3 linked regions of the Mytilus edulis genome follow. The main gene of each other region encodes a partner of the protein of the gene in region 3 in a complex. Links are inferred from orthologs where the notes say so. Each region holds a gene or a part of one and is shown on either strand. Other genes may lie near its edges. The genes, in order: serine/threonine-protein phosphatase 4 regulatory subunit 2-A-like, serine/threonine-protein phosphatase 4 regulatory subunit 1-like and serine/threonine-protein phosphatase 4 regulatory subunit 4-like.

Region 1 (10,615 bases), on a different chromosome or scaffold from region 3:
AATAAAGGAGTAGGTTCAGTAAGCCCCCTTTTTGGCCCCAAAATATAGCAGTTTTACAAAATTGTTAAGATGTAAACTTTTAGTTATTCATTGGAAAGTAAAATGCTTCTGCTACATAAATATGGGCTGTTTTTGACAATATAATGCACATATATCGGGCGCCAGCATCATTAAGTCATGCTAAATTACTGAAATCTTCACAATTTTAGCATTTTAGTTAAATTTTAGACGGTTTCCATCTTAATTGAAAGTGGCCGCATTCGTGTTCATTATTAATATTGAAATGTAAGTTGTATTTTATGATAATACATAACATATATAAAGGTTGTGGATGACGCGGATGCGGCCACTTTCATTTTTGACAAAAACCAACAGAAAAGTGACATTTTTGGGCATATTTGATATATTTTTCATATTTAAGCTAGAATCAGAGCGTTTTTAATGAGTAAATTAGTTAAAATCTTTTACATAAACTTATTGAATCAACTGAAATAGACACTTAAGTGTTTAAAAAGGGTCTACAATCATTCGTCAGATGAACTTGAAATTTGAGGCCAAAATCGGCCCTTACCAGACCTACTCCTTTCCAGTTTGCCAGACACAGTCTTAAATAACAAGATTTAGTTTTGCCAATACTTAACTTGCCAAGCTTGTATTTCATATACTCAAAAGTAGTTGCCTCATATTATTCATATTTTTTTTTCTTTTCTGGTTGTGCTAATTTATTTATAAAAGTCTGGCATATAAGTGACTTTTTTTGGTATTACACTGGTTCTTAGTTTTTTACTTCTCTTTTTGACCAATTTTTTTCAACAGGATCTTAAGTAAATTAGATTCCATCTGCAAGCTTTATTGGTTGGCTGACCATCACCAAAGTCACAATAAAAGTTAATATATGACAAGTAACCGTTCATTTATACTTAATTTGTTTGATTGCTTCTGTGATCATGGTGATTGTTAAGAGAACTAACATAAGTCTAAAGTGTAACTTGGTCTATGAACTAATAGCTTTCGTCATGGTGATGGTTTGCATCAAGTGTTATGATTTATGCTCCAGTGATTTAAGTACTATATAACTTACCTGCCAAATGGATCTATTGTAGTCACCACTGACACATTCTGAAAGAAAACAGTGCATTTAATTATTTTCAAGATGTCAAAGAATTTAAACTGCAAATCCTATTATTGTAACACAAAAACCAGAGGTAGAATTTGCTTACAACTTCACTTATATTTTACAAATTGCATGCTAAGCATATTTCAGTTGGTTTTATGTGTGTTTGTAGTGACATATCAGATCACAAATAAACAATTCTAATATGATAACCCATATATATGGTCAACTAGTGTAATCACCGAATATCTACTTTTAGCCCAAATGCATTGATACAGAAAATTGGCTAATCTGTCTATCATGTGTACCACCAGCCTCGGCCCAGGTAAACATAAATTGCCACATTGAAAACTGAGTTTTACGTAGGCCAAGCTTCAAATACAATACTGTTATCTCTAATGTTTATTTTCAGGCTTCTGTTCCCCTCAGAATATAATATTAAAATAAGATAAAAAGAATATTTTAAGGTGAAAAAAAGTGATTTTATTTTATTTGTTATTATAGTCAGGACAGTATTGTGTTTATAGGGTTTTCATGGTTGGCAAAATTACTATATTTGTCCTATTCGAATCAAAATTATACTTATCAGCTATAGATTTGTTTATATTTAACCATGGGTTGGGGATGTGTCCTCTAAATCTAACATGTCAAATAATTTGATAAAGTAAATATATTGAAATCTTTGCATTTATAAATGTACTTGCATCCGAACATACAGGACTGAAAGAATAAATTGAAAATTATTTTAATACTTTTTTACACAAAAACTCATCTGTACTACTATTATAATTGAAAAGTTTGTTTTGAAAACAAGTTTGGTATAATGGATGTGGACAAATGGAGATGATATACTGGTAACTAACAAATGCTTAGAACCAGGTGAGCTTAAATGTCTTACCTTTTCAATGCCTCTCAAAAATTTGTCACATCTTTTATAATGCCTTTTTGGTTCATTGATTAATTCACAAAGCCTTTGAACAGTAAATGGTGCCCTAAATGTAAAAATAAGAATAATATAACTTAAATCAAAATTACATATCCCCAATTAAGTTCCCTGGTCTCTACTTATATATTGGTACATTGTATCGTATTCTCACAATAGACCTTTTCTAGGATTTGAACCTTTAGATGTTCTGTTAAAATGGCAATTATTACAATTGATTCAGGTTTTTTCTAAAGGGTCATTATATTTAATAAAATGTTGAACTATTCTAGCTATAAAAGGGTGTGTTCTGCAGATTGATTATCATCCACTTCAGGCATTTGATTTCTTTTTCGAAACCAAGAGATAACAATTGACTCATTTTGAAGTCAGTGGTTCACTTATATTTCAGTTGTAGCTGTACATGTAAGTGTAAAGTCATGAAAATGACTAAAATACAAAACGTCCTGACTTACTACCATGTCAAATTCTGCAAAACCTCAATTTTATCATAAAGAGATTATTACCACATATTTCAATATATAAGTAAGGGAGATTACCTCCCCTTTGACACAAAGGACAATGGCTTCAAATTTATTCCTTATAAAGCCAAACCTCAGTTTCATGTAATCAACTTATGACATTTTCATGTTTAATCATCTCTGAGAAATTTTGTATGAGACAAAATCGTAGGTTAGGATTTTTTTACCCTTGAAATTCATCCATTAAGGACAGGATTCTCCTTCTCATTTCGTCATATTTTACTGGCTCAATATTTGGTGTTGTCTGCAATAAGTCTGTTGGACTGGTCTCCTTGAACTGTGTCATGACTAGATCAACTTTTGCCACAAATAACTTTTTCAGCTGATGCCATGGAAATCTGAAAAAATAAGTATTATAAAATTATACATGTACATGTGACTTTTTTCAATTTCTTGCATATAAAAATAGACCTCCAAAAATCTTCAACTATATGTGCATTCAAACTGAGGACAATGGAAGTTATTAATCTTCCACAGTTTAAAATTAAAAGTACCAAACTGTGTTGTCAATAAAATGATCAAGCATCTTTATGATTTCAGTCTTGTCTGTATGTTACATAGTGCAGGTTCCGATCGCGGATATATGGGCACTAGAAAACTTAGTTTAAATTTGAGTTGTTTCTGTTAAAACAAAAAAAATAATATATTTGTATCCTAACCCTTTCGCCGATGAGTACCGGTTTACCGGGATTCACGCTTCAGACAGCTGACGATGAGTCCCGTTTTACCGGGAATCGGAATACCTCTTTTATATTTCCCGCTCAAAACAGTGCTAACATGAGTTATCTTTCTTTGATAAATATCCGGATGAAAGTGTAAACATGGCGCTTCTACATGTTGAAAACTGTGTCAAAATCAGAGGAAATTTACTGAATTTACGAGAATTTGAAATGAGGGAACATTTTTTTTGAAAGAATATGGAAGAATTGAAGCCAAACTAGTATACTTTTTGGACATAAAATGTTGTTTTATGTACGAAACACTTGGAATGGACATCGTTCAGTGTGAGGAATTTGTACAGCCTAGTAAAATTTTTCAAAATTTTGCCGTTTTGGGTTAAAAAATTACAACTTGGGGTCAAAGAGCAGAATTTTGATAATTTCACCTAGATAATGCCGAAAATTTGAAAATTTGAATATTTTATGAAGAAAAATTATCAAAACATGAACAAAACTGTGAACATAGTGTTAGTGAAAAAAATAAATACACAAATAACTACAAACAAGTTTTTATTGACATTTAATATGAAGATCTCCAACTTAACTCTTTCCTCCATTGAAATTTTTTTTTTGCATACTTGATTCGCATAGGATTTTTTTAATAAAATGCTGAACATATACTTTAAAGTATTAATGCATTGCGAAAAACAAATATTTCTTCAAATAAATTTAAGTCAGATATTCCTATGTTATTCCTTTTCATATTGGATACAAATTTTATTAAGTCAACTGCAGACACTTTGTAGTCAAAGCGTTTCAACAGAGGTACTACACAGGCGTCATTATGGAGTAAAGGGGGTGGCGTCAAAAGGTGTCACTATGGAGGAAAGGGTTAAGTAATAGTAGCCAGGGAAGCCATCGTCTCAGAGTAGCTTCAGTCTGGGCAGCTATCGGTGAAAGGGTTAATCAGGGTTCTCACTATTAAAGGAATTTTGATGGTGAGTCCACGGCCTCATCTTGTTTGGCTATGGCGAGTCAAACGGTGAGAAGATGAAAGTTTGTTGCTACATGTACATGTATACAATTCATTATTTCTGTCCCTATCAATAAATACATGTAGAGCAAGGATATGACATCAAATTTAGATTTTTTATAAAGATGAAGTTATGTTACAAAATGATGACTATAAACACTTCTCAGATCTGCAGTGACATCACAACCGGGTCTGAGACTTCTTAACGAACTGAAATGATCAATGCCCAAGTGGTGTTTAGCTGGATTGGTTTGTGGTCAAACGTCTCGAAAGCGTCTTGAGAGGCATTAATATTTTACTTTTTCATTGACACCTTCCTACGCCATAGTTATTTGTTCTCCTTTAGCCTATGATTTGGTCAGTTATTCAAACCAAAACTCAGGTTTTCTAAAAACTAATTTTAAAGCCAAGGTAAGGTATCAAATCATTTAATTGACATTATGTCAATTAAATGATTTGATAACTTTATTTAATCTTGAGATAATTTGCCATGGGGTGGGGGGCTTCAATTGTCAAATGAAGTATGCATATATTGACTACAGTACGACATATAACCTAGGTCAATCTTATAATAAAACATACAAAGTTTTTCCTGTTTTTGCAACTTGATGCAGATACTGGTCTAACAATGGAGGGATTTCTGTGCATGGTTTCTTCTCAAATTCTGAAAGAAAAAATAAAGTACTATTAAATTCACGTCTTTTTTTAAGGAATCAAATTCAAAACAGAGTACTATCGTGTAGTTCAATACTACACTTGTCATTGCTTATCTTTAGTCATTAATTTGTGATATATTACCGTTCAAAGCGTCTAAAATATCCTCTTTGTTTTCCATTCTCAAACTGGAGGTCAACAAATGGCGGCACGGAAATGACGTTATGGCGCAACTTATTTCATTCTTTGGGGGTGATAGGTAAGTTCATTTCCGATAATTCAATATTACAATAAATTTGCTTTAAAATTGCACTGAATGCATTTTGAATAAAAATTTAAACCTAGGAAACGTGTTGCTTAAACTATATTACTGCCATGGTAGGCGTAAGGAAATAATTAAACCCCCTAATTTCAATTTTAGGATTTCCCTTTTACCTAGGTCTCACTAATTAGCGACAAGAAGAATTTAAGCGACAAAAAGCGTCAAGACGCGACAAGAAGAATTATTTTAGCGACAAGAAGCGACAAGAAAACATATTTTTTTAATTAAAATTACTTTTTCCAAATAAATATTAAAAGAATATGCAAAAGAAAACAATTCTAGCGACAAGAAAGGTAAATATTGATGAAAAAAAATTGAAACATTTATTTACATGGTATTTATCATTTATTATGTATAACAGCTAGCATTACGTTTACCCTGAAAAGGCTGTTGTATTATGAGATTACTTTTCCTTGTGTTTTAGAACGAAACGATGTGTTAGCTACTACCGCCGAGCGGAGCGATGCGAACAAAATTTGAAAATATCAAAAATCCAAATATCATTGAAAACGTGAAAATCTGTTTACCATGTATATTGACATAAGAGACAACCCCCCAAAACAGGTAAAAAAGTCACTAAATGTTCACGAAGAGAAATATTCTATCACTTTTCAGGGCCGTAACTAGCCTCTGTTAATAGTGAGGCAAAATATATATGCTGAGCGTAGCGAGGCGAATTTTTTTCGGCGAGGGGTCTGGGGAGGGGGGGGGGGGGGTTCTGGGGACCGCTTAGGACCCCCAGAAGCTTTGAGAAAAATAACGCAAAATCATGCATTCTGAGCGTTTCCCAGACTCTTTCTAACATTGAAACGCAATTAATATTTTAGCCATTTTTCTCCGACAATATGCTGGTCTCAAAGCAAAAACGTAGATTCATTGTAATTTGGGACTTTTAGGTTTTACGGAGACAACATCATTAACAGACCGATGTGTAGGATAAAGCAAAAATCGTAAGTCTCATGAAATAAAAACCGGGTCTGTCTGTCTGTTCTTGTTTTGTATTGTGCTTAGACTTTGGTGATTTTATAATGACTAGATTTAAACATAGTGACAGTGCAGTAATATACTTTAAGTACTAGTACTGCCTAAGTCGACACTAAGAACCATCTTGACCTTGTTTTACGGTATTAATGATTCTTTTATTGTTGAAGACCCTCCGTCTACTACCAAGATGAAGAACAGGAATAAAAACTTTGAACATTGGTCATTTGTATTTTTTCTATGCATTGACTTTGTGTGAGATTAGTTCCCGTGTACGTTTTCTCCATATTCCTTTATTTTCTGTTAACAAGACTTAATGCAAGTTTAATCCTTCAATGTAAAAGGTCATATAGCTATACAGTGATGTTTTTTTTTATAGATGATTTGATACCGATGAATTGGTCGTCTTACTTTAATTTAATCCATGTCAGCTGTTTAGTTTTATCTACAAAAAGAGTCAGTTTTGTATTCTTTGATATCAAGTTCAATGCCCCATGCAGAAACGACCAGTTTTTTCTGTGTCCAGTAGCATCGTATATTCTTAAAATATTTTTGTCGCACAATGTCTGGACATCGGTTAACATGCAACATTGCAAAACCACACGTTTACAAATGGAAATTAACCCTCAGACTATCGTCACAAAGTAGGACAATAAATGAACAAAAGACAAACCCGGGACACATAATAACAAACAATAGACCATCAACTCTGAAAACAAAACTAAAAGTAAAATAGAAATATGGATCACGAAAAACATGCAGGGACGACAGCAGAGAGTGAAGAGAACTTTCTTTTTTGCAAGACACTTTCCGTGAACACAATTTGATATGAAGACAATTTTTTTGTTTCATTTTTTTTTTTGAAGTTTTCAACATGAGGCATTTGCCTCATTTGCCACAATGTAGTTACGGCCCTGCTTTTCGACAGTTTCCATTTCAATATAGCGTTTATAATTTTAAAGTACCAGTTACACAAACTGTGAGAAAAAAAATTGGGACCCTATTATGCAGAATTTTTTTTCAGTTTTCGGTCATAGGACGGTTAAAAGAGGAGCTATGTGTAGATAAAAAATTATGAATGTGAAGCTATTAATAAATCTTCTGAATATAGTAATACATAAACAACACATATTTGTGATACAGAATTTACTCAAAATTGTCCAAAATCTGATCTTCGGGTCTGGGCAGAAACAAGCTTCTTTATTACTTTGTCAACATTCACACTGAATTCCATGAATATGCAGTAATGCTATGTAACTTTCGTTGTTCATTGTTGATCGTACATTTGTTTTCAATTACATGCGTAGTACCGTGACTGATAGATCTCAGGGCCATCATGGCATGGTAGCACTCGCGAGATGTTATAAACCAGCGTACGTGTTCGGCATCGAACGATCTCCCAATTGAATTCGTCAGTTTCGTATGTTTCTGACAATATTGAGATTTGTTCGTTTGTGATATTTCCTACAACGCGATGAAGCAGATACAGCACAAAGAAGCGATTTTCTGATAACTTGGCGCGACTCCACTCTTCAGTTGCCTTATCATATGGTCTATGAACGCAAAAAATAATGAGACTTTCCAATACTGTTTTGGCGTGGTTACAGGGTGATTGGCTCCGGTAGTCTGTCAACCACATCGCCTCGGCATATTTTTATAACCCCGTGAAATTCCGGCATAAGTCCGTGAACTTCGGCACGGGTTACATTAAAGTCTGTAGGTCTATAATCGACACTATGGCTGCTTTAAACGCAAGACCGTATAAAAATATATACAAATTTATTAACACAAGTGTACAGTTCGAAAGCTAGGGGAAGACTGTCCCAGCAACAGTTTACAAAACATAAATTAAGTCAAAGATAAGGGTATTAAAACATTATAAAAGGTTCTCATAAAATATACATTTTGTAAATATAATTGTCCAATGTTATGTAATAATAATAGGATTATTGTCCTCCGGCTCAACTTAGCAAAATAACGATAATTGCTTCTTTTGAAGTTGAGTGTAAGTTTCGCACTAGCCATCGGATTAAGTTGTAAAATAGTAAATCTATAATTAATCTCTTTGGGTATATGAAATAAAGAAACATTATATTTAAGAATAAAGAAACATTTAAAACAAGAAATATTCAACTTAAAACTAAAACGAGAAATAATCAATTTAAAACGAGAGTTCATATAACTATTCGAAACGAGAGTTCATATAACTATTCAAAACGAGAGTTCATATACATATTCAATTCAAACGAGAGTTCCTAAAAAAGCACTTTGCAAATTATAGTAAAAGTTCCTGAAATCACTTTTCTTCCGGTTATATTTTCAACGATATCGAAGGGATCTGATAATTCTAATGCCGATTGGTACATCTCATTCCAAACTGATGAACTGTACACTGTAAAATGTGCTCCAAAACTACATATCTTAGACCAGAGACATATAATACAATTAGTATATGTCTCTGCTTAGACTGAGTATTACAAATTCAAAAGTAAAAATCTTGTAAAAGATACAAGTAACCTTCCGATTTTGTCATAATCTCCAAAAAAATAATATTTTGAAACCAAATGTCGTTATTTAATGATATTTCATCAATTAAAAAAAAGTGACAACATAGGTGTTTCCTTTAGGCAGCAACCATTTGATTTTCTGGGGGGGGCTATGGTTTTTTTTTCTGTGCAAACTTTTTTTTTCGCCTGTGGCGAAAAACAATCTATTTTTTTCGCGACAAGTCGAAAACAATTTTTTTCTTTCAATTTTAGCGTTACATATAGTGGCAGCTGAGGGTGAAACAAACAATTTTTTTTTTCTCAGAATCAAAAACAAATTATTTTTTTCTCCAAAAACTGGAAACAAACTTTTTTTTCCAAAAAAAACCATAGCCCCCCCCAGAAAATCAAATGGTTGCTGCCTTAACATTCAATTTATAAATTTTTATTTTGTCATTTCTTGTTTTGCATGCCGAATCAATGTGCACGCAACTTCGGAGCTACGACCTTTTTCTGAATGAACAGCTTCATCAACACTTGTAACTAGGTTGTCAAACTAATATCCGGGATAGACGGAAAAGACACCAACAGTCTCCGATTCCGATTGACCAACTCAGTCATCTCTCTCTCTTCTGCTTTTTTTTTGAAAACGACGTGGATGCACGTGCTGTCGTGCCTCCGGGTAGCTACGCCCCTGTAATATTAAGCTTGCAAAATGATTTATTTGTGCATCATTGTCTTGAAAATGCAGACACAAATTGTGAAATACAAAGAACTGAAATCAAACAAGACGAAAACATAATTAAAATGTGAATATTTTTCATAATTTTATTTAGTGTATTGCCTCATTTAACGATATTTATCATGTTTATGCATATTGATTGAAGATTAAAGGAAATTAATGACAATATTAATTCAACAGGTGTTCACTGTTTACAATGATTGTATATTCTAGCGCGTGTAATTGTATAGTCTGACGCGTGTACAAAGTTGAAGGTGTTAATTGGATGTTATTGTAGCAATTAAACGGCAAGAGACACGCGCCTCGTTAATCTCATTTGATGTTCTACATTGTGTATTACCTTGGGGTGAAGCCACAGCTAACGTTGGTCCTATCAGGAAAAATTAATTATACAGTTAGAAAGGAAATAATATTTCATGTTTTTGTTTCAATAACTCCTTCAAAGGAAAGGTGAAAAATCTTTGTTTTTATTTTCATTTTTATGCTCTTTAATACAAACATTGCTAGAAAACAAAGAAATATCGATGGCATCGTCAAAAAATGTTAATAAAGTAATACAAATAGACAGGATATACTAAAAAAAAATATAAAAAACATTGATGAGCACAATTTTAATCTGCTAACCGAGTCCCTGTGCTCTGAATCCCTCAACGGTGTTGGTCGCTGTAACTGATGTTGGTAGGTTGTTCCAGTCCCTGATTGTCCTCGGGAAGAAAGATTGGCCGTAGGTGTCTGTACTTGTTCTTTCTTGGAAGAAGCGGTTTTTACCTCTGGTCCGGTTATCATTCGGGGTCAAATATTGGTGACGGTCTATATCTATAAGATCATGCTGGATCTTAAATAGCATGTATAATCTATTTGTTGCTTCTTGTCGCTTCTTGACGCTTCTTGTCGCTAATTAGTGAACCCCGTTTTACCTGTATCACGGCGGGACAACTCGTGTAGAACCAAAATATTTGGTCAAACAATATTAAGGTAATTTGCATTGACTTATATATTTAGAAGACAATATTAAGATATCTGCTACTGAAATATTTACTGAGATTGAAGCAAAGAGGCATGTTGACTTTCATGATTCCTCTACCTGGAACAGGTGTAAGTAAAACAAGTTGTCCCATTCATTCAAAGAATTTTAAAGTGCAACATACTTCCAGTGGTCA
Region 2 (10,203 bases), on a different chromosome or scaffold from region 3:
ACAGAATATGCTGGGAAAAATAAATCAAAATATTTCAGCATCTGATGTAAGAAGTAAACAACAAAATCTTAAAATTGTTTGAACAAAGGCCAAAAAAAAATATATGTCTGTTTCCTACTGCCAAGGTAAATAAATCAGGGATGGTAGGTCGGGGTTTTTTTTTGTTTTAATTATTTGTTTTTTCTTTTTTGCACTCCCTGCAGTTGGTTCAATGTCATGTTTGGTTGGGTTCCTGTACCCAAAAGTATGCAAATCTCTATTTAGAAGCTTTAATTGACTTCTCCTCCTAGTGCCAACATTTTTAAACCTTAATTGTAGCACATTTGTGCTGGGAGCAGCAACTTTTATTGTTTGGGCATAGTATGATACGGATCAGAAACGATTTTTTTCCGGAATTAAAAAAAAATCTAGGGTCGGTCAGAAGCAAGAAACAGACATATATTTTTTTTGCCTAACCCCTTTTACCTTCTTTTTTTATTTATTCATTTTTCTCAAATCACTAGATATCTTAAAGCCTATTCAATTACTTGATTCAGATTTAAATGTTTAAAACTTTTTCCAGACGATTTTGATTCAATACATTGTGGATTTTACATTCTAGCAACAATAATGTTTAAAACATCAGAGTAATGTACATAAAATGTCACATTCAGTGTATGATTTATTCATTCTAAAAGATAGCTAAATGAATATGAGAATAAGCTCATTTTGCATGGTTTCTTATTTTACAAATAACATACCTGAATCTTCCGATAATTTCACCATAGCTTCCAAAACAGGTGTGCAATCTTCTTCCTCATCTTCCACTGCTCGAATTGTATCCAACATACCACGAGCAACCATTTGTCTACAGAACAAAAATGCACTTATTTTTTAACATGAAATCTTCAGTTCTGCTATTTCTGTATACAACCAATTTAATTGAAATCTAATAATTGTTCACGAACCCACTTAAGGACACTCAATAGAAAAATGTTTGTTAAATAAGATTACAAGAAAAATACATGTCCTTCAGATTACAAAACACAATAAACTTTGCAGTCCAAAGGTTTATATAGAAATCGTGTAAAAAAAGTAACTTTTCTTTTGCATCAATATTTGTAACAACCGACTAACCTTGTGTAGACATTGTCACTTTGCATGTATTTCTCCAATTTTTGTAGAGGTGAAAGTTTATCATCTGTGTTGTAATTATCTTCCCCATCCAAATCATCATCGAGTCCAAAACCTAGAATATAGATTATAATTTCAAATGGCATGGCTTAATATCCCATGTCTGCAGTCTTCATTTCACAATGGTCACAAGAATAAATTGGCAGAGAGATAGTAGGGCTTTTAAGGTGCCTCTATTAAAATTTGTTTGTGCTCAATGGTTAATTTTGTGTGTCAAATATTTTCCAAAAAATCTATGATAACCCATAAACTTAAGTGTTCTAAGGGCCTTTTAGCGTCATATTTATGCGATTCTTTAACATTTTTTCCCCTCTTTATTATAAATAGCGTTACGGATACAAGGCTTTAATTTCTAGAAACTCTTTTAACATTTCAAAATTGACTGTTTACCATGATGAAATAAGATATTTCAAAGGAACACTGACCCTAGCATGTCAATTTTACCAATTTTTTCCCCTCTTTATTATAAATAGCGTTACGGATACAAGGCTTTAATTTCTAGAAACTCTTTTAACATTTCAAAATTGACTGTTTACCATGATGAAATAAGATATTTCAAAGGAACACTGACCCTAGCATGTCAATTTTATTATGAAGACTTGTTGCAGCAATTATAAATTATATTTTATCCCATGGTAATGTCAGAATTTTGTTAATAAAAACAAATCAAAGTCATAATTATTTGGCACTAGATCCAAATACAAACTCTTCCATACAACAAATATAGTACTTTGCACTTCTATGTACATTTCAGTTTGATCACTTACAACAATAGCATTTGTATCGAGGTTGCTTTTCTTTTATTCACTTGAATTTCAAACGTTTTTCAGGAGTATTAGGAGTTTACAAGTATGGCTGCAGTGCTTTACATGTAATTATTGTTGAATTTGAGCTTGATATTTAAAATTGTAATACATTTTTAGACCATCTGGATTAAGTGTAATGTAATCAAGATCAGGATTCACCTCTATTTACCCTCTTGCTGCCAACCTTTCTTCAAGGTTGCATTTCATATTCCGGAAAATATGACAGCCTGACGTCTGTGACATAACATGCCAAACAACAACATCATTCAATATATGACGCCACAACATAATGACCGTTACATTTGGGACCCATTGGAGAAAAACATAACACTGTTTAATCTTCGGTCTTTTAATTGAAAGAGATACTGCATTGATGAGAAGCTTGCATAAATTGAACCATGGACATATGTGTTCCTCTGGCAGAAAGAGGGTTGAGTCACCCTTCTTTTAGTTCCAAGAAATGAACTCACTAGTACTTGTGTTAATTTAGTAAACAATTATCAATGGGAGAAATCAAGCACAAGGGAGGTTATAATCTTTGTTCTATACACTTCAGGAAATTCAAGTCTGATTTTTCTGCCCTTAAATAACAAGGAGCTGAATTAAAATTGCAATGAAAAAAACCCATACCATTAAAGAAATTGGAATGAGTCGACAAATGTAAAAAGAGTTCAAAGAAGAAAACTTGCAGCCTGATTTACGTTGAAAAAAATGAATTAATACAAATACATGTATGATATACAGCAACAAACAACCACTAAATTACAGGCTCCTGACTCGGAACATTCAAACATAGAATTTGTGTGGTGGGGGTTGACATGTTAGGGGGGCAGCCAAACTTCCACAACCTTGGTACAGTTCAGTGGTGTATTTGTACTATGTAGTCTTCCAAAAATATGTCGACATCACAAGAAAACACACTATTTTCAAATAAATTTTGGAAAACAATAACTTTAACAGTAATTTAACTGAGGGCATGTTTGGGAAGAGAAAGAAATACTTAGGTACTGTCTGTATATTTCAGGTACATGTATGTGTATTGGAATAATTTTTAATTTCAACCAACAAAATGTCAAGCCATGTTAATTAATTTTAGTACACAATAGCAATTTACACAACACAAACAAAAACCAACAAGTAACATCAACATCATGTCAAATATAGACAATTTTTCGACATTGAGTACTCTGGATTTCGTCTAAACAAAATTGCCTTGCAAGCGTGCTTTGCACAAATTTCCACTTTATAAAATGCTTCCTGTACATTGGAAAAATGGCAACAATGGAAATTTCTTTGTTCATGAAACTATCCAAGTCCGACATATAGTTCTTTTAAACTTTGAAAAAAAAAATCTTTTTAAAAACAAAACTTACTTTCTGGTCAAAATTTAACCAAAAAATTTTGGCGCGCTCTCGCTACCCTCCATTACGATAAATTTTGGCAACAGATTTCACTGGAAGCGTGACCTATTTACCATTATTCAACAAGAATGACGCACTGCATTGTCATTACTCATTCATGACTAAGCCATTAAGTTTAATAGCAATTTCAATTAGCAATATAGCACTCGATTGTTTTCCAGGTAGCTAAAATAATTAAAATACTTACGGAGCCTTCACAAACACGCCACCAAATTCAAATGGGAATCGTGCGCGGGAACTTGGGTCATGGGGTTAGGGGGAAACCCAGATCACGTGATCACAATCATGGCATCATTGATTCTACAAATCTTGGCGTCATGTTTGAATTTACGAATTAAACTACACGTGTCGTGTCAAAACAAATACATAAAACGAAATTTTGCATTATATATTTTGTAAGGAATATTATTTCATACATCGGACATACTGATAAAGCCCTCAAAATGTTGAACACTGAAAGTGGACGCGAAAGGATATCATAATCTCAGAACTTGGGACATTTTGTCATCTCCGTGCTCTGCAGTGATAAACAATGACAAAAATGTGGATGTAAACATAACTTACCTTCTTCACCGTTATCGTCTCCTATTCCACCATAAAAGTCAATATCTGAAAAATAATATTATTACTTCAGTAAAGGCGGAAAAGTTTAAATTTCGTAAATAGAACAGGGTTTATTAAATGAGGTGGACTCACCCGCCATGTTGAAAGGAGCACGCTACTTTGTAAAACTATCGCTGATTGGTCGATGACTGTAAAATTCTTCTGATTGATTGGTTAGGGAATTTTTTGTTGTTCGGATGATTCCGATGTCCGTCGTAAACGTGTTCGGTAATATATGTGCATGAATGGCGAACTACATTCACAATTTGATTATCATTTTATATGGAATTATACACGTTTTTGGGTACAGATTATCGTGAATATTGTCCTTGGAGTCTTTCATAACTACATATAATGGATTGAAACATAATTGTTTAAACGTTTATCTGAATAATAAAATGAAAACAAAGGACTTTGGCATTGTGTGTGATTAGGCAGTCAGTGCCCGATAAGCTTCCGCACTTGAAATTAGGGCTTATTTCCATCAATTGATTTATGCATGGAAAGATGAATTGACAGATATAATTTCGTCCATTTCGACTAAACTATGACAATTTCCATTCGTATAAAACGTTTGAAATGTATTTTAAAAGCACAATATATAATTCATTAATTTTCTTAATATGGGGCCCCAATAAGGGTGTATTGGTTCCCAACATTCTATTCTTTATTATTTGCCTGATCTTAACTTTTTTTTTCTCGGTGTCACGTATCTTTTTTCAACGCAGGACTTTTAATTGGACCGTTTTTATATTGTTTCGGCCTAAGTAAATCAATTCTTATAAAACTTGGCCTGAGTTGAAAAATATGTTTGTGTTGTCATATTTTCGTTGTCCGAAATTATATGAGGCACTCAACAAATCCATAAATCCAGTTAACTTTATGAAGACAAATGACCATAATTGTATGCATAAGATCATTCATGCACCAAATATATAAAAGTATGATATATACACCATACGCCCTCATTTTCATTTGCCGATCGAGATTTAAAAAAACCAGAATATAGCTAAAAAGTGACTAGCAACGCTCGGCAATTTTTTTTTAATTTGGACATTATATTGCGGCATAAGTGTAAAAAAATCCTTGTCTATATAATGGAATTTTATAAGACTGTCATACAAGTGAGAGGTTTAGTAACTTTAAAACCAGATTTAATTAACCATGTAACTTTTGTTCTACAATAGAAAATGCACGTACAAAATCGCCGGGGGAAATGACTGCTGTTATCCACTCGTTTGATGGGTTTGAGCTTTTGTTTTTGCTATTTGATGAGCGAATTTCCGTTTTGAATTTTCATAGGAGTTCGGTATTTTAATTAATTCACTTTTTGGTACCTAACATTTATACAATTATAATCGTTAAATCTTGATATATATTACGAGAACAAAGAAATGACATAAGATAGATTGATCCTATATATACCTTACAATATGACATTATATGACCCAAGTGCCTGTGCACAAAGCAATAAAATGTGCACAGATAATATATGAACGGATCAAATTCAATATAGGTCTATCTATATTTTCCTGCATGTTTTGTGCATGCTGTCACTATGTCTATGATGAATTACGACAAGAGAATAAAAATTGAATCTAGTCCTCTACTACATTAAATGCTGAATGTTAACTTCACTGAATACGGTATTAGCTCGGTATGAATAGGAACCAAGGAAGTATACATATGTTAGTTTTCAATCTTTGCTATTAACCTCCACCGTTCTATCAATAGTATATAAAATGATGTGCCGAATTTTGTAACAGTTCTATTCTACGAAACGCGACGGTTATAATAGTAACTAAGATTAGATATTTGTCTTTACGAAAATTGGTTTAAATAAGTATTTAGTTCTAGTATTCCCTGAGAACAGTTTCCAAATAAGATACTTGCTTCTTCGCATATTTCGATATTTCAAATGGGAGACGAGGCAAAATGAAAAACTGAGCAGTCACACGTGTTATTTCTTCCCGTTACCATCCTTTGGCTTGAACGTTTCTGTTGAATCTATTTGGACACACCAAAATTTTAAAGCTTTGTTCTTATTTTCTAGCGCTGGGTCGATACCGCTGCGTATTCATGGCAGTATTCACGGTGTTCAGGTACCAACAAAATTTATAACAAACCTTTCTTAAATTCTCTTTTTATAAATTTCAATATTATTAAAAAACCAAGGTTCAGATTTGATCATTCTTTGAAGTCCATAAAAAGTTTTGGTCGTATCAGTCATCTAAAATCGTCATTAATGTAGTTTATTTTGAAGATATCTGGGTATGATATATTCAAATTCAAATATCTTTATTCCTAAACAAAGGGCCCACAAGGATATAAATAAACACAAATCACAAAGTTCTTACAATATCCACACAAACAGCACATGCAATCTTACATACATACTGATTGTTAATTATTGAATATGATTGAAAATAAATATGGAAACATGATTATTAAAATATTTACATGATTGGGGAGGCCCGTACAAAGAGGAATAACTCTATTTGTTTATCTTAACTTTTTTCTTTTTTCCCTGTCTGATCTGGAAATTTGCATTTAGGTACAAACTAAAATCTGCATTAAAAACTTAATCTTTTTTATTTGTCTGGACAAAAAGAGATAACTTCACCATTCTCACATTTCAGTTGGTTTTATCTGAGACTAGTACTGTACCAGGTTTGATTAAGCAGAGAGTTATATAATATGTAATATATATGTAGGACTCAAATCTATGGTGGGTTCCAGATCTATGGCAGTTTCCTAATATATGGTAAATATGACGTCATGCTATCCCAAAACTATGGCAAATTTTTTAAAATCATAATCTATGGCCAGTTTTGTAAAATCCTAATCTATTGCGGATGTTTGTTGTTTCCAAAACTATGGCAGATTTTGTGCAAATGTACCAACTAGGCAGTACATATATACAATCAACGACTTGTCTTGAATAAGTTGAAATGTACGACAACGGGAGTATGTCTATAATCATTTGTGAAATAAAAATTACATAATGGCCAACCAAATATATGGATTTTTTAATGAATTCCGATTTTCTGTTATATCTGATATTTTAAAACAACTATCTTCATTAGTAATTTAAAACCATCAAAATGTATTCGCTGAAGAGAGCTTAAGGTTGATAAAATTTGTATATTTATAATTGAGAGCATTAGAAGATAGCTTTCTACAGATTTCAAGAAGGGGAAAATCTAATAAAACATGCCTTTCGTCTTCTACTTTTTTGCTTAAATGAGTTGTGTTTGCTGCCTCTAATATCTGAAATTAGGTACTAGTAACTGCTTGATTAACAGAAAAAGACGGACAAAGACAGATTGATTAATAAGATTGAGAATGGAAATGGGGAATGTGTCAAAGAGACGTACAGCAACCCGACCACAGAGCAGACATCAGCCGAAGGCCACCAATGGGTCTTCAATCGGCGACGAGAAACTTCATGAGGAGTCCTTCAGCTGGCCCCTAAACAAATATATATACTATTATACTAAACTCCGAATTATACAGAAGAAACTAAAATAAAAAATCATATAAGACTAACACTGGCCAGAGGCTCCTGACTAGGGACAGGCGCAAAAATGCGGCCGGGTTAAATATGTTTTTGAGATCTCAACCCTTATATATAATGCTCTATTCAGGACGGTAGCAGATCCATTTGATATGAAGATATCATGCTTTGTACTACACTGACACGTTAAGTTTGATTTTAACTGCTTGATCAGAAGAAATGTATCATTTTCAGTTCCATTATCATTATTCAGACCCTGAGACTAGTATATATTTTTTTTACGCATTTGATTTAAACAGTACAGGACCATTCCAAACTAGTCCATTTTCTAAACCATAGGTTTTAAATATTATCATAATTCAGTGCTACAATTTTTGCTTTCATTATTATAAGGTCCACTAGAAAGTTGCACGTGGAGCAAGCCATTTTTCTAATTGAATGAATAAACAGTTTGTTTGGTAATGATACTTATAAATACAATTATTGTTTAAGAAATAATTCATGGGGGCTTGAATATATCGTGATTTTACCACGGGTTGGCCCTTTATGACAAATATTTTACCCCTGAGCGATAGCGAGGGGTAAAATATCGGCATAAAGGGACAACCCGTGGTAAAATCTAGATATATTCAAGCCCCCATGAATTATTTCGATTCTGATAGGACACATACGGCAATTCTTTTGGATCGAAGCGCTCTAGGTGTAGGCAAATATTTGCCGTTCCCATAAATAAACGCACTAATAAACTATAGCGTAAAAGAACGGAGCAAACTGCATTAGTGACATGCTTAAACTATTTAAAATAATGTATTTAGACAGTTTTGGATGAATTTGAATGATAATTTATTTATATGTCTTATATGATGTACAATAAAGGGCTTTTGCCACATTTTAGCATCATTTGTGTATGTTTCCTTGTGATGAATTTCGGATTCACAAGCGTGTATTTTCCCGTAAAATGCTTACATTCTAACGTCATTGTTCTATGACGTCGGGTATCTCATTCACAAAAAAGCATATGACGTGGGAGTACAATCGGAACAGCACTGGCAATATATTCATATTTTACCACGGGTGTGTACTCAAAGCGTTTGAAGGACGTCATGTTAGAATACCATATCTAGTTGTCATTATCCAAAATATACACATTGTCAGTATATACTAAACTAACAATTGATAGTAAATCGTAAACAACTTTTGTTTCTAGTATATTTATGTAAGAATGACACAGAAAAACATAAATATAATTGAAATTAAAGGAGAAAAAAAAACGGATTTTTGAGAAAACAAAAAGGGTAAATGAAACATTTAAGCAAAGTTACAGCCTCTAGTTTTGACAGTACGTCTACTCATAAAGGCTTTGTCGACTGCGGTTTGAAAATTTCACTGGTGTACATCTCTTATTTGTTTTATTCCTTTTTAATTGTTTTGGAAGATGATAAAAACAATTGAGATCTACAGAAAAAGAGGAAACTGAAAAATATGAAGAAGGAATAACATCAGCAACTCTAAATATGGATTTCAGTGTAACTACTAAGAGATTCTAATAGTGCATCTCACTTATCCACAATACTGTTGATAACAAGATTAAGTAAAGGATGAAGGTATATCAATAGTTCACGTTAATCCATTCATTTAAATGTTTATAGTTTCCTAAAACTGCTATCACTTATTTCTTTGTCATGTTTTCAAACTATATGCTAAGTAATATGAGCCAGTCCATGCGAAAAGGTACAAAAAGTCCTTTTGGTAAACTTTACAGGACAAACTATCAAAGTTTGTTATAATATTTTTGAAAAACGATTTTATCCAAAAAAAATTACATTAATGTAAACATTCATAAGATTGTCAATTCTATCCCGAATTTGTCAATTAAAACAGCAAAAGACGTAGAAATATCTGAATTTTTGGTATTTGAGCAAGTGTAAAATCATTTGTTCCCCGGACTAATGCTATACCGACCAGAAACTTAAAATTTTACGACACTAAAGACACAAAAGTCAATAATTTTCTTTAGTTTTACCGGTTTAAGGAAAGAAAGACAACATTAAAACATGAGGGAAAATACAAAAACTATGACCTCTTGTATTTTAGAAATTGAAATTTAAGTTAAGTTAAGTTAAGTTAAGTTATTTAATATTATTTAAATCAAGTTAAGTTATTTAATATTATTTAAATCAAGTTAAGTTAAGTTAAGTTAAGTTATTTAATATTATTTAAAGTTAAGTTAAGTTAAGTTAAGTTATTTAATATTATTTAAATCAACCGTCGTTGCACGGGATTCGAACCGTTGCCTGGTCTGATTGCATTGATATCCGCATCGTAAGCGAGAGCCTTATCCCCACTGCTACCGGGGTTAACATTATCAATTGGCAAATCAAGCCATTTAAACTGTACTATGAAAATAATTCATTAAAAATCATGATAAAACTAAAAGGCGGGGAAGGGGTGGGGGGTCTCAACACTTGCAGGTGCGTGTAGCTCACAGCTTAAGGATATAAGGAAAAGTAAATGTGTTTTATAAATCACAAGTCTACTACCAATAATTATGCACACTTTTTAGAATTTCGTAAAATTTTCGTTTTTGTACCTTTTCGCATGGACTGGCTCATATAATCTTTCAATCTGGACTAAAATAATCCAAGCAAGTCTTACCTCAAGGAAATTTAGAACTTGACAATAT
Region 3 (10,112 bases):
TGTTCTTGTATGAACAAAACTTGAAAATCAAATATCCTAAAGTTTGATATAAAAGAAGGTATGATTGAATAATGTAACTATTTACATGTCTCATGTTTGTCTCTTTGTCACATTGACCATTTCAACTCTAAATTTTATGTAGCTATCTATCAGAGATCAATGGACTAAGATGTCAATAAATATAGGTCACCTTCAACAATAAACAAAACTTATCAAAAGGCCCTGACATGACAAAATGTGAATCTCTTAAAAAAATTATGTTGTTGAAACACTTGTAGTTATATAAAATTGAGAATGGAAATGGGGAATGTGTCAAAGAGACAACAACTGTATTGTCAACCTGACCATAGAGCAGACAACAGCCGAAGGCCACTAATGGGTCTTCAACGCAGGGAGAAATATGTATGATTTCATTTTGCGATCAACATATGCCATTGGGTTGCTGTCATGTAGACATGTAAAAATGTACCCAACATCTCTCTTTTTATTCAAACTAAAAAATACCCCCGTATGTATTCTATTTACAGTACCATTTTACTTTCTTTTATAATAAAGTTCCTCAAAGGGTATAATTATGAAATTTATTTTAAGAATATTCTAATCAACAAGGAATGGGGCATTTAGTTATGTAATTATAAAAAAATAATTGTGAACAAGGCTATGGAAAAAAGTGAGAAGAAATTTCCAATAGAGAATCATAAAAGCTAATTGTATGTCTTCAAAAGTAATGAAAGTTAACTGTTTAGTCTAGCTGAGCTATAGTGTTAAAAATAACAGAAAATCGAGAAATGATGAGATTTGATTTAAAAACATATAAAGGAGGGTTGGCCGTCATCAATTGAAATGAAAATAAGCTTTTAAAGGTAAATAAATTGCATTTGAAAGCGTTATATACTTTTATTTTCTGAGGTTGTTGTAGAATAAAGATTTAGTATGGTGTGAAATACCGTTCATTTTCCTTTTGTGTTCTATTGTACCGCTATTTGGCAAAATACACGAATATATTATAAACATAGCTATTACCATAATCTGTACATTCAAAATATTATATTTATATTTGATTAACAGTTGGGGTTGCTCATCACAAAATCCTAAAATACATGACATTTATAGTCCCTTTTATACTTGTGCTCTCACGGAGAAAAAATGGCTGTCAAAGATTTATTATAATATAGGTAGTTTAATTTGTGTGTTGTTGATCACAGGAAAGGAAATTAGAATTAACTGGTGGTAGTCTGACACTGGTAGCCCAGTTTACATTTTTGGTAGCCTAGTGCTTTATGATAAAGCAATATTATGGAAAAAATTACTATCCCAGCTCTTATTTTAGATGCAATGGTCTTTTGGGGCCATTCAAATTTCCTTCTCTGGATCAGAAGCATAATTCTCAAACCTTATTTGTTCATGACTGTAAATGTTTGCAACTGGTCAGATTTAAATAAAACAGGATGTGAGATCGATTTCATTTAGACAGCCGTAAACAACACAAAATAAAACAAATAATACTTCAAGGGTGATCTTACTTTTCTTCAACAATGAGTTCCCAAACCATTCTGTTGTATTCTGATTTAAGAAAAAGTTGATTATTTTATTTATTGTTAAAATACATGAAATTGTTCTCACCAGTATTTTCAAATATGACTGGTATATATATCTGAAAAGCACTGTTACCTAAGAAATTCATTAAACACCAAGGAAAAAAAATATAATTTTATGATAGCACTATAATGCCCTAAGGCCATGTGGAAAACCCTATGAACTTTGTGAAAGCTTAAGTTCTTCATTTGCACCTTTAATTAATTGCTGAAATATGAATAGCCATCATTTTATTTTAAGAAATCTTTCGGTAATCCATGTAGAAATGTAGAAGTTAACAACTTTCAACAGAATAAGTTTAACATTGCATTATCACTGCTGTTAAACGTTCCAGTACAAATTAGTTAAAGTTGACCTCTCAGTTCTGAGTTAATTTGAGTTTTGTTGATGAAACAGATTATAATTGGTATGGAGTATCAGTTTCAGCATTGATTTCTGGGTAATTTTCTTTGTCCGAGACAGGATATCACAATGTTGGTGCTTTTCACAACTTCCTTAATTACCCACCTAATTGTTAGAATCAATATGGTTTCCCTAACTAAACATCGAATGCCTTTATGAGGATATTTTTATAGTGTTTAGAAAATGTAATGAACTCAAAACTAATAAAATTATCTCGGTTAAGTACCAAGTTATATAATTTGGACTCGTAAAGGTGTTAATAAATTTCTATGAGTCCTAGTGTTTTGCATGTATACCGAAGGGCCATAACTATAGATTAAAGAGTCTGAACAGAATCTTGGGTGTGAGAAATAAATTCTTCGATAATTTTGAAAGTCACATGTTGAATAGTATGATCTCAGTCTGGTAAGTGGAAATTTTTTACCTGCATGTTCCTCCCGTGAATTGAAAATGTTATGTTACTTTTGTTTCCCTGACAAAGCAAGGTTGTGGTTCTTTCCCACCAATCAGCCTTCCTCCACCAAAAAAAAACTGTTAGTCTTAAGTGCTGAAAGAGGCAATAATCTTAAAAAGATCAATAAATAAATACACACAGATATCAGTCAAAGTTTTGTTTACAGGAGCAGCTAGATTTGCGTTTCCTCTAGAAAAAAAAAGCCAAATAAAATAAGAAGTTCAAGATCAGTAGGGACCCGAATTCTGAAAGGTTTTGCTAAAAACAGTAGCTATGGTAATCTTCTTGTGGTGAAAATCCAATTAGTATTCATCAGATCTTTTATTTTTTGGGGACTTTATCCTTTTACCTACAATCTGTTACTGGACCCTTTGAGCATATGAAGATATAAATAGAATTTATAACAGTATAACAATCTCAATTGACGAGACAGGCTCAAAAATGCTTTAGGGTTAAACATATTTTTGGGAGATCTCAGATATACTTCTTGACAAAGAAAGAAAAAATAGTTAAAAAAAAATAACCAATTTAACTTGTTTTGACTTAAAACTTTCTGAAACTCAAACATATCTTCACATCAAACTGACCGCCATGAAATAGCCAGAAAGGGTGCTTAAAAGTGGCATTAAAACAACTAAAATAAAATCCTTGAGAGAGAGAGAGAGAGAGCCAATGCCTTTTAACCTTTTTGATACCAGCATCACTGATGAATCTTTTGTAGAGGAAACATGTGTATAGCATACACAATTATATGCCATGTTTAATCTTTGATGATCTTTTAAAAGGAGTTATTGTTAAGAGTCTGCATGATTTTAACAGATCCTGTTACAAGAATATAAAGCATTATTATAGTCAACACAAAAAGTGCTAAATTGATTGATATGACCTAAAAGTATAGGTTATTTTACTTTTTATCATGGTGTGTGTATGTTCATGAGCTCTGCATAATATGATTTAAATACTTTTGATTTATTATGCGGTCCCATGGATTGATTCTCCAACCTTTCAGTTGTGAAATTTAAGATGAGAAATTTGAAATTGAAATTCCAGCCTGAAATTAATCTTCATCAAACGAAAATTGAATTGGGTCCCTGTCTTTACACATTCAATTGAACCTGTACAAACAATTTTCATTATAATTTTCTATAAAAGATGTTGACTCGGTCAAGAATCAAGAAGGTTTTCCTTTGTATTAATGTCAGGCTGTTATTACTTGTGGGACATTAACAGCTCTTAACTTTTATACACCTTAATATTGACAGAGCTTTGTAAATCTATAATTAGGTGTTGACTCTAATTTTATTTTAATAAACATTTTATCTACCTACTTATGCTTATACAAATATTCATTTGAACAGGTCTAACTCTATCACAAATATTTGACAGCTTCATAAAACCATATATTACACAAGGTATGTTAAAAGAGATGACACTTCAAGTTAGTCACTGACCCATCCTTTTTGTCAGATTAAAATGACAGTCGTTATCTCTTGATTATAATTAATTTGACATATACATATATATATCTTTCCAATCAAGATGTTAGAGTTGTCTCCCATGCACTGAGATAATTATTTTCTATAGAATTTATTTGCAAAATGGTTCTTAATTATATAATATTAATTCTTTTTTAAAAATTTTAATTGACAAATTACTTATTGGTAAATTTAACATTTTGTTTTGATCTTGTTTGAAGTTACAGGTGGTCACAAGGTGCGTATATTACAATACATGTAACATATAACTAAGGTCACATGAATAATCCATTACATAATTATAGAGAGAGGAATTTGCAATTGTTTACAGAAATAGAGTGGAATTTGACCTATTGGGTTGTGAACATCCGCTAAAATTGTAATTAGAAATTTTTTTTTTTTTTTTACGATGTGTAATTTAAATAAATACGTAAAAAAAATATAATTTTATATATTTTCAATTTTTTAGTTAGCATTGACTGGCTTGGAATAACACTTCATTTAGGTTCAATTTGTGTTAAATAAATCCATTGGAGACTCAAAAATAAAATTAAGTCTGTCATAATCTGCCTGTCCTTGATATAACAACAAAAATTGAAACTTGTGTGAAAAATTTCATCTTTGCATATAAGCATTGATTTTTCCTTCACACTATAAGGAAATAACCTTCAGCTAGAAGATACAATATTCTATCTATAGAAAAAGAGTGTCAGCCTAGAAATGTTCAAATGACACTGAAAAGTGATACCAAATTTCAAATGCATTGGAAATTTGAGTTGAACTAGTAACAGATGGCAAACATTTTAATGTATTGACATTTAGGATAATGAATGAAAAATGTAATTTGATACACAGCAGATAATTGCTCATATTAATAACATATAGCTTTTAATAGTTTATTATTATATTAAGACAAAAAGTCCATTAACTGGTTGTGATAATTTCTGATCATTTTTGATATCAGTGAATCTGAAAATGTTGATTGTTAACCAAATGTGTAAGGCTTGATAAAGTACATCAGTTTTTGGGAAAGTGATCGACTTACCACTTGAATGTAAAGATTTAGCTCTTAAATTGATCACACAAGTCTGTTCTTTGTGGTGGTGCATTGTGGATAATCTGTTTATATGTTTAAGTACATAATCTGTGTATATAACAGTTTTTCTGATTCATTTCCTGTTTCCACGGAAACACAATATCATTTTTTTCCCCTGTTGGTATATATGTATGGGGCCAGTGACACAAACATTCTCTCGCTATGTGAATGAGTAGCTAGGAATTACATCACTAGTCTGATTACGATACCAATTGTCATTACTTATCAAGGGATATATTAAATTATTAGATGAATTTCTGTGTATTCGTTGTGTTCATCTGGATATATAATCAGGAAAAATGAGAGTTATTAGTGTAATTTCTTGTTGGATTGTAAAATATATTGACACTTTAATTACTTGATTGTTATGGAAGAAATCGAAGTTTTCTCTACAAAGTTATCTAGTACAGGAGAAAATGTTAAACTTTTCTTAGACCACGATTATTTAGAAATTCCAGAAGAGGATATCGAGGATCTTGATGAAGAAATGGGATATGAAAGTTACTACACAATTGAAGAGTATGTATTGTTTTGTTGGTACATGATCCTGCAATTAAAATTTCCTTTTAATAATTAGTGTGGAAAAATTATATTTTAAAAGTTTGAAGTCAATTTGATATGGGTAATTTAGCACCATGTTTAAAAGGTTAAAAGTTGTAATTAGTTTTGAAAGAAGGTAGGGCTCAAATTTTATTTTGGTGCATTCTGAAACAGACATATACCTGTTGTAGTTGTTTTGTTTTTTTCAGGGTCAATTGCATGTTTGGATCAATAACATATTTAGGACAGTCACACCATAACATTATATATTCAAACATGCCCCATATTGAGTTTGATATTTGAGTTTATATTGTTGTTGTAAATAGATCAGGATAGTCAAAAGCACCAACACAATTACTCTTAAATAAAACTTTTAAAATGTTTCTGCTTAAATGTTCTTAAAAATAAGTTTATACATGTGTGTCATGTAGGTATACATTTTTGTAGAAAATTTTCGCATATGGAGTTTATCTTCTAAGTAGATAAATTATTACAATAGACTTAGAAAATTCAGATTTTAGGGTCTTCAGGATTAACAAAAACATATTTCTTGCTAAAATTGTAAAGAAAATCAACCAAATTTCCTTCTAGGTTTGTAATACAACTAAAGGTTGGGTATACATGTACTTTGAAGATTCTATCCTTATCCTGGGGGGGGGGGGGGGGGGGGGGGGGGGTACTGTCTGTTCAATTAGTACTGGGTCCTTGCTAAATCCATCATTGATTTAATAGATTGATCTATATCTTCATTTATCTGACAGGTTTGTACATTAACCAGTACATGTGTGTGTACAGGAAAGATAAATTGCTTCCTTGATTTTGTCAAAACATCTGATACATATAAAACATAGATCTAGATCTAGAATCCATTGCTTAATTTTAAATTAAAAGAAAAAAAAACATGAACAGTTTCCAGATTCAAATAAATCCAATTTTATGACACATTTCTTGGGGGACTCCATAGATTCAATGGCATTGTATTTTGATCGACAAGTCCTTGTTCTATAATTGTTATTAAACAAGTGTTCCTCTCTTTAATAATGATTTTTTTTTCATAAGAATGATGGATCAGTTCATTTTTGAATTCTGGTTCCTTAAAAAACTTTCTATAAACTTGCGAAGAGCTAAAATTTAAAGTCATTTAAGACAGTATATGTTTTTTATGTTTATGTAGAAAATTGCTCCGCACATGGTGATACCAGTTTCATGTATTTGTACAAAGTACTTTATTTTTTATATGACTAATGAACCAAGTTAAAAGTATATTACATCAGCTAGGCTAACCACATTAAAAAATTTAAGTGACAGGTGTTAGTAGTTAGAAAACAGGAAGGGTAAATTTCCTTTAAATTTACATCATACATGTAACATAATAATGAGAAACAAATCTTTAAATAACTCTTCAAGTTTACATCAGGAAAACAAGCAACTATTTGTTGATTGGATGTCTTAAAGTATTTCTCAGGCTCATCCATCAGCCATTCTTATTGAATAACAAGATTTGCTGCTTTTATTTAGATTTAAACATAATGAAATGAAGAAAACTTTTGTAGTTGTTGCAAGAGAGACAATTTTTACATGTTCTGTTTTTATTTTGATAATTTTCTGTCATGTTGTTTGGGTTTATGTGGGCTGATGATAGAAAGCAGAGAGACAAAACAAACTTTTAAGTTGATTGTTAATTCAATATGCAATGTATTAATCAGAATAGTTTCAAGTCAAAACAATGTTTATGGTAAAGAGATATTCTATATATTGCATGGTTTATTAAAACAAATGACATTAACTCCATCACAATTTATATTGCTCATTTATTTTGCTGAACATTAAGTTTTGTTTTTTATTTCCTGTCACTCCATGAAATTTAACCCAGCACTTAAACAAAAATGTAAAATGAATCTTTGAAATTTTGAATTTTTTCCTTTTGTAGTATTAGAGCATCATTTGCTAATGAAATTTGGTGTTTTTTACTATCTAAAATCGATTGTTTAGAAACTAGACCAGATGCCATATTGGAAACTAGATAAGAAAAAAATGAAAATTAATAAATCAATTATTCTGTTTCTAAAGTTTCGCATCAATGTAAGGTTTGAATGTTAAACATGGAAAATTAGTGGAATGATAGCTAAATATAGAATCATTTTTTTTCTACCATATAGTGACCGCCTTCAACAAATTGAAGATTATGTCACAGGAGGAAACTTACAACAAGACATAGATTGGAAAAATGTACAATTTTTAAAAAATAGGAAAAATTAAAAATTTAAAATGTTTTGTATAATAAAGTAAGATGTTGTAATTGAGTTAATATTGATGCTTTGAAATTGAAGATTTGAAAGAGTCGACTGAAGTGCAATTTACAATGTTGTCCGGTAGTTTGTTCCAGTCGGTGATAGTTCTTGGAAAATATGACTCTTTTCTGTACTGTGTTTTGCAGGATGGAATTTGGAAGCTGTTCGAATTTGTATGTCTTGTTTGTCTTTTTTGTGGAATTAATTTATTTTGTTTAGGGATTGCAACCTTTTCGTGTTCAATTTTGTAGAGCATTACCAATCTGGAGTCTTTTCTTCTGTCAGAGAGACTGCGCCATTCAAGATGTTGTAACATGTTACCAACGCTTGAGGTGTTTCTGTATTTGTTGGTAACAAAACGCGCAGCCCTCCTTTGAACTTTTTCAATGCTATCTATGTCTTGTTGTAAGTATGGATCCCAAACAGAGCAAGCATACTCTAGTGATGGTCTTACTAGGGACTTATATGCTTGCTCTTTAATGGATGTTGAACTTATGTTCAGGTTCCTCTTTAGAAAGCCTAGTGTGCTATTAGCTTTCTTGCATATGTTGTTAATATGCACATCCCATTTAAGGTTTGAACTGATGGTGACCCCCAGATATTTTGCTGTTGTTACATGTTCTAAAGAATGATTGTGTAATGTGTAGTTAAATGTGATTGGTTTTTTATTTCTGGTGACTGAAATTACATTACACTTATCTGGGTGGAATGCCATTTTCCAGGTAGTTTCCCACGATGCCAGTTTGTCAAGATCTTTTTGTAGTGTTAATGCATCGGAGTTTGATTTTATTGCCAAATAAACTATTGTGTCGTCTGCAAATAAACGTACTGTAGATGTTAGACCAGATGGAATGTCATTAATATAGAACAAGAAAAGACTTGGTCCAAGAACTGACCCCTGTGGAACCCCTGACTCAACTGCAACATACTCAGATTTTTCCCCCTCTAGAACTACTGCCTGTTTGCGATTGCTAAGAAAATTTTGTATCCAGTAATTTAATTCCCCCTGTATCCCGTAATGATGAAGCTTATTAGTTAAAAAAGAATGTGAAACTTTATCGAATGCTTTAGAAAAATCCATGACCAAAATATCTGTTTGTTTACCATTTTCCATGTTTAGTGAGACATCGTCTATAAATTCTAATAGTTGTGTTTCGCAGGATCGATTTCTGCGAAATCCATGCTGTAGGGGATATAAAATGTTGTGATTATCTGCATGTTTCATGATGTGTTTTACTACGATGTGTTCTAAAAGTTTGCAACAAATACATGTGAGTGATATAGGACGGTAGTTTTCAGGGTTATATTTTTGGCCTTTTTTGTATACAGGAGAGACATGGGCAGTTTTCCAGTCATCTGGAACAACGCCTGTTTTGATTGACTTCTCAAAGATAATAGTGAGTATGGGTGCAATTTCATGTGAAAGTTCTTTTAAAAATCTTGGTTTAATTTCATCTGGTCCTGCTGCTTTGTTTGGATTTAAGTTATGTAAGAGTTTTTGTATACCTTCTGTTTTTATTATTAATTTTGATATGGGTGGAAAAGAAGTATTCTGTGGCATGTTACACTGTTTGACAAATTCTGTATGAGATTACATTTACATATATCTTCCAAATATTCATATTTTTATTGTGTTAACTTGGTAAATTGATGTTATCTAAGACATTTTCAGCATTTTCATGGATATCAATAGACATATATTCAATATAATTGATATGAAATATCAAGAAATATTTTGATGAGCTAACATATGTTATTATGATATTGGGGTATTGATTTGGATCATGCCCTCGTCTTGTAACAGTGTTAGATAATTTTGTCATTTATATTAACCCGGTGCAAATCGATTCTTCTGACGTAGTAATTGTTTTGATGTTTTTAAGTGAGATTTAGTTAAATGAATGCCGCATTCGCTTCTGTCATTCTGAGGTTATTGTCAGGACAGTTTCAAAACCATGAAATTGGTTGATATGAAGAAGTAATTTGAGTTTAAATTTGATGCCACAGAAAATCAATGAAAATCCATCAGAAACTAGGTTCTGCTCTGTCTGAGTTTTTGGAAGAGAACACTATATCTAACTACAGTTAATTTGTATTTTGACATCTCCTTCTCAAACTCTCCTGTCAGCTTATTTAACCTTGGAATTTTGTTTTTGATCATGTTGGTACTGAAATTTAAGCTTACCTCATTTTCCAAGTAAAAAACATGTATATTTCAATTCTCATGATGGAAGAAAAGAAATTGCATTCTAAATCTA

Evidence for each region.
Region 1: serine/threonine-protein phosphatase 4 regulatory subunit 4-like (region 3) and serine/threonine-protein phosphatase 4 regulatory subunit 2-A-like share a complex: the UniProt entries of both Homo sapiens proteins name them as parts of the PP4 complex. The link is inferred for Mytilus edulis from reciprocal best matches to the Homo sapiens genes PPP4R4 and PPP4R2.
Region 2: serine/threonine-protein phosphatase 4 regulatory subunit 4-like (region 3) and serine/threonine-protein phosphatase 4 regulatory subunit 1-like share a complex: the UniProt entries of both Homo sapiens proteins name them as parts of the PP4 complex. The link is inferred for Mytilus edulis from reciprocal best matches to the Homo sapiens genes PPP4R4 and PPP4R1.

What each region holds. Positions count from the first base shown.
Region 1 is NC_092344.1:52,045,361-52,055,975, reverse strand, and holds the start of serine/threonine-protein phosphatase 4 regulatory subunit 2-A-like, read right to left. Parts: upstream 5,223-10,615; 5' UTR 5,106-5,222; coding exon 5,069-5,105; intron 4,935-5,068; coding exon 4,853-4,934; intron 2,917-4,852; coding exon 2,746-2,916; intron 2,107-2,745; coding exon 2,013-2,106; intron 1,120-2,012; coding exon 1,082-1,119; intron 1-1,081. UniProt on the Homo sapiens protein: Regulatory subunit of serine/threonine-protein phosphatase 4 (PP4). May regulate the activity of PPP4C at centrosomal microtubule organizing centers.
Region 2 is NC_092348.1:29,192,055-29,202,257, reverse strand, and holds the start of serine/threonine-protein phosphatase 4 regulatory subunit 1-like, read right to left. Parts: upstream 4,169-10,203; 5' UTR 4,104-4,168; coding exon 4,097-4,103; intron 4,010-4,096; coding exon 3,965-4,009; intron 3,720-3,964; exon of another isoform or gene 3,588-3,719; intron 3,481-3,587; exon of another isoform or gene 3,353-3,480; intron 1,229-3,352; coding exon 1,117-1,228; intron 848-1,116; coding exon 741-847; intron 1-740. UniProt on the Homo sapiens protein: Regulatory subunit of serine/threonine-protein phosphatase 4. May play a role in regulation of cell division in renal glomeruli. The PPP4C-PPP4R1 PP4 complex may play a role in dephosphorylation and regulation of HDAC3.
Region 3 is NC_092346.1:31,241,695-31,251,806, reverse strand, and holds the start of serine/threonine-protein phosphatase 4 regulatory subunit 4-like, read left to right. Parts: upstream 1-4,902; 5' UTR 4,903-5,390; coding exon 5,391-5,542; intron 5,543-10,112. UniProt on the Homo sapiens protein: Putative regulatory subunit of serine/threonine-protein phosphatase 4.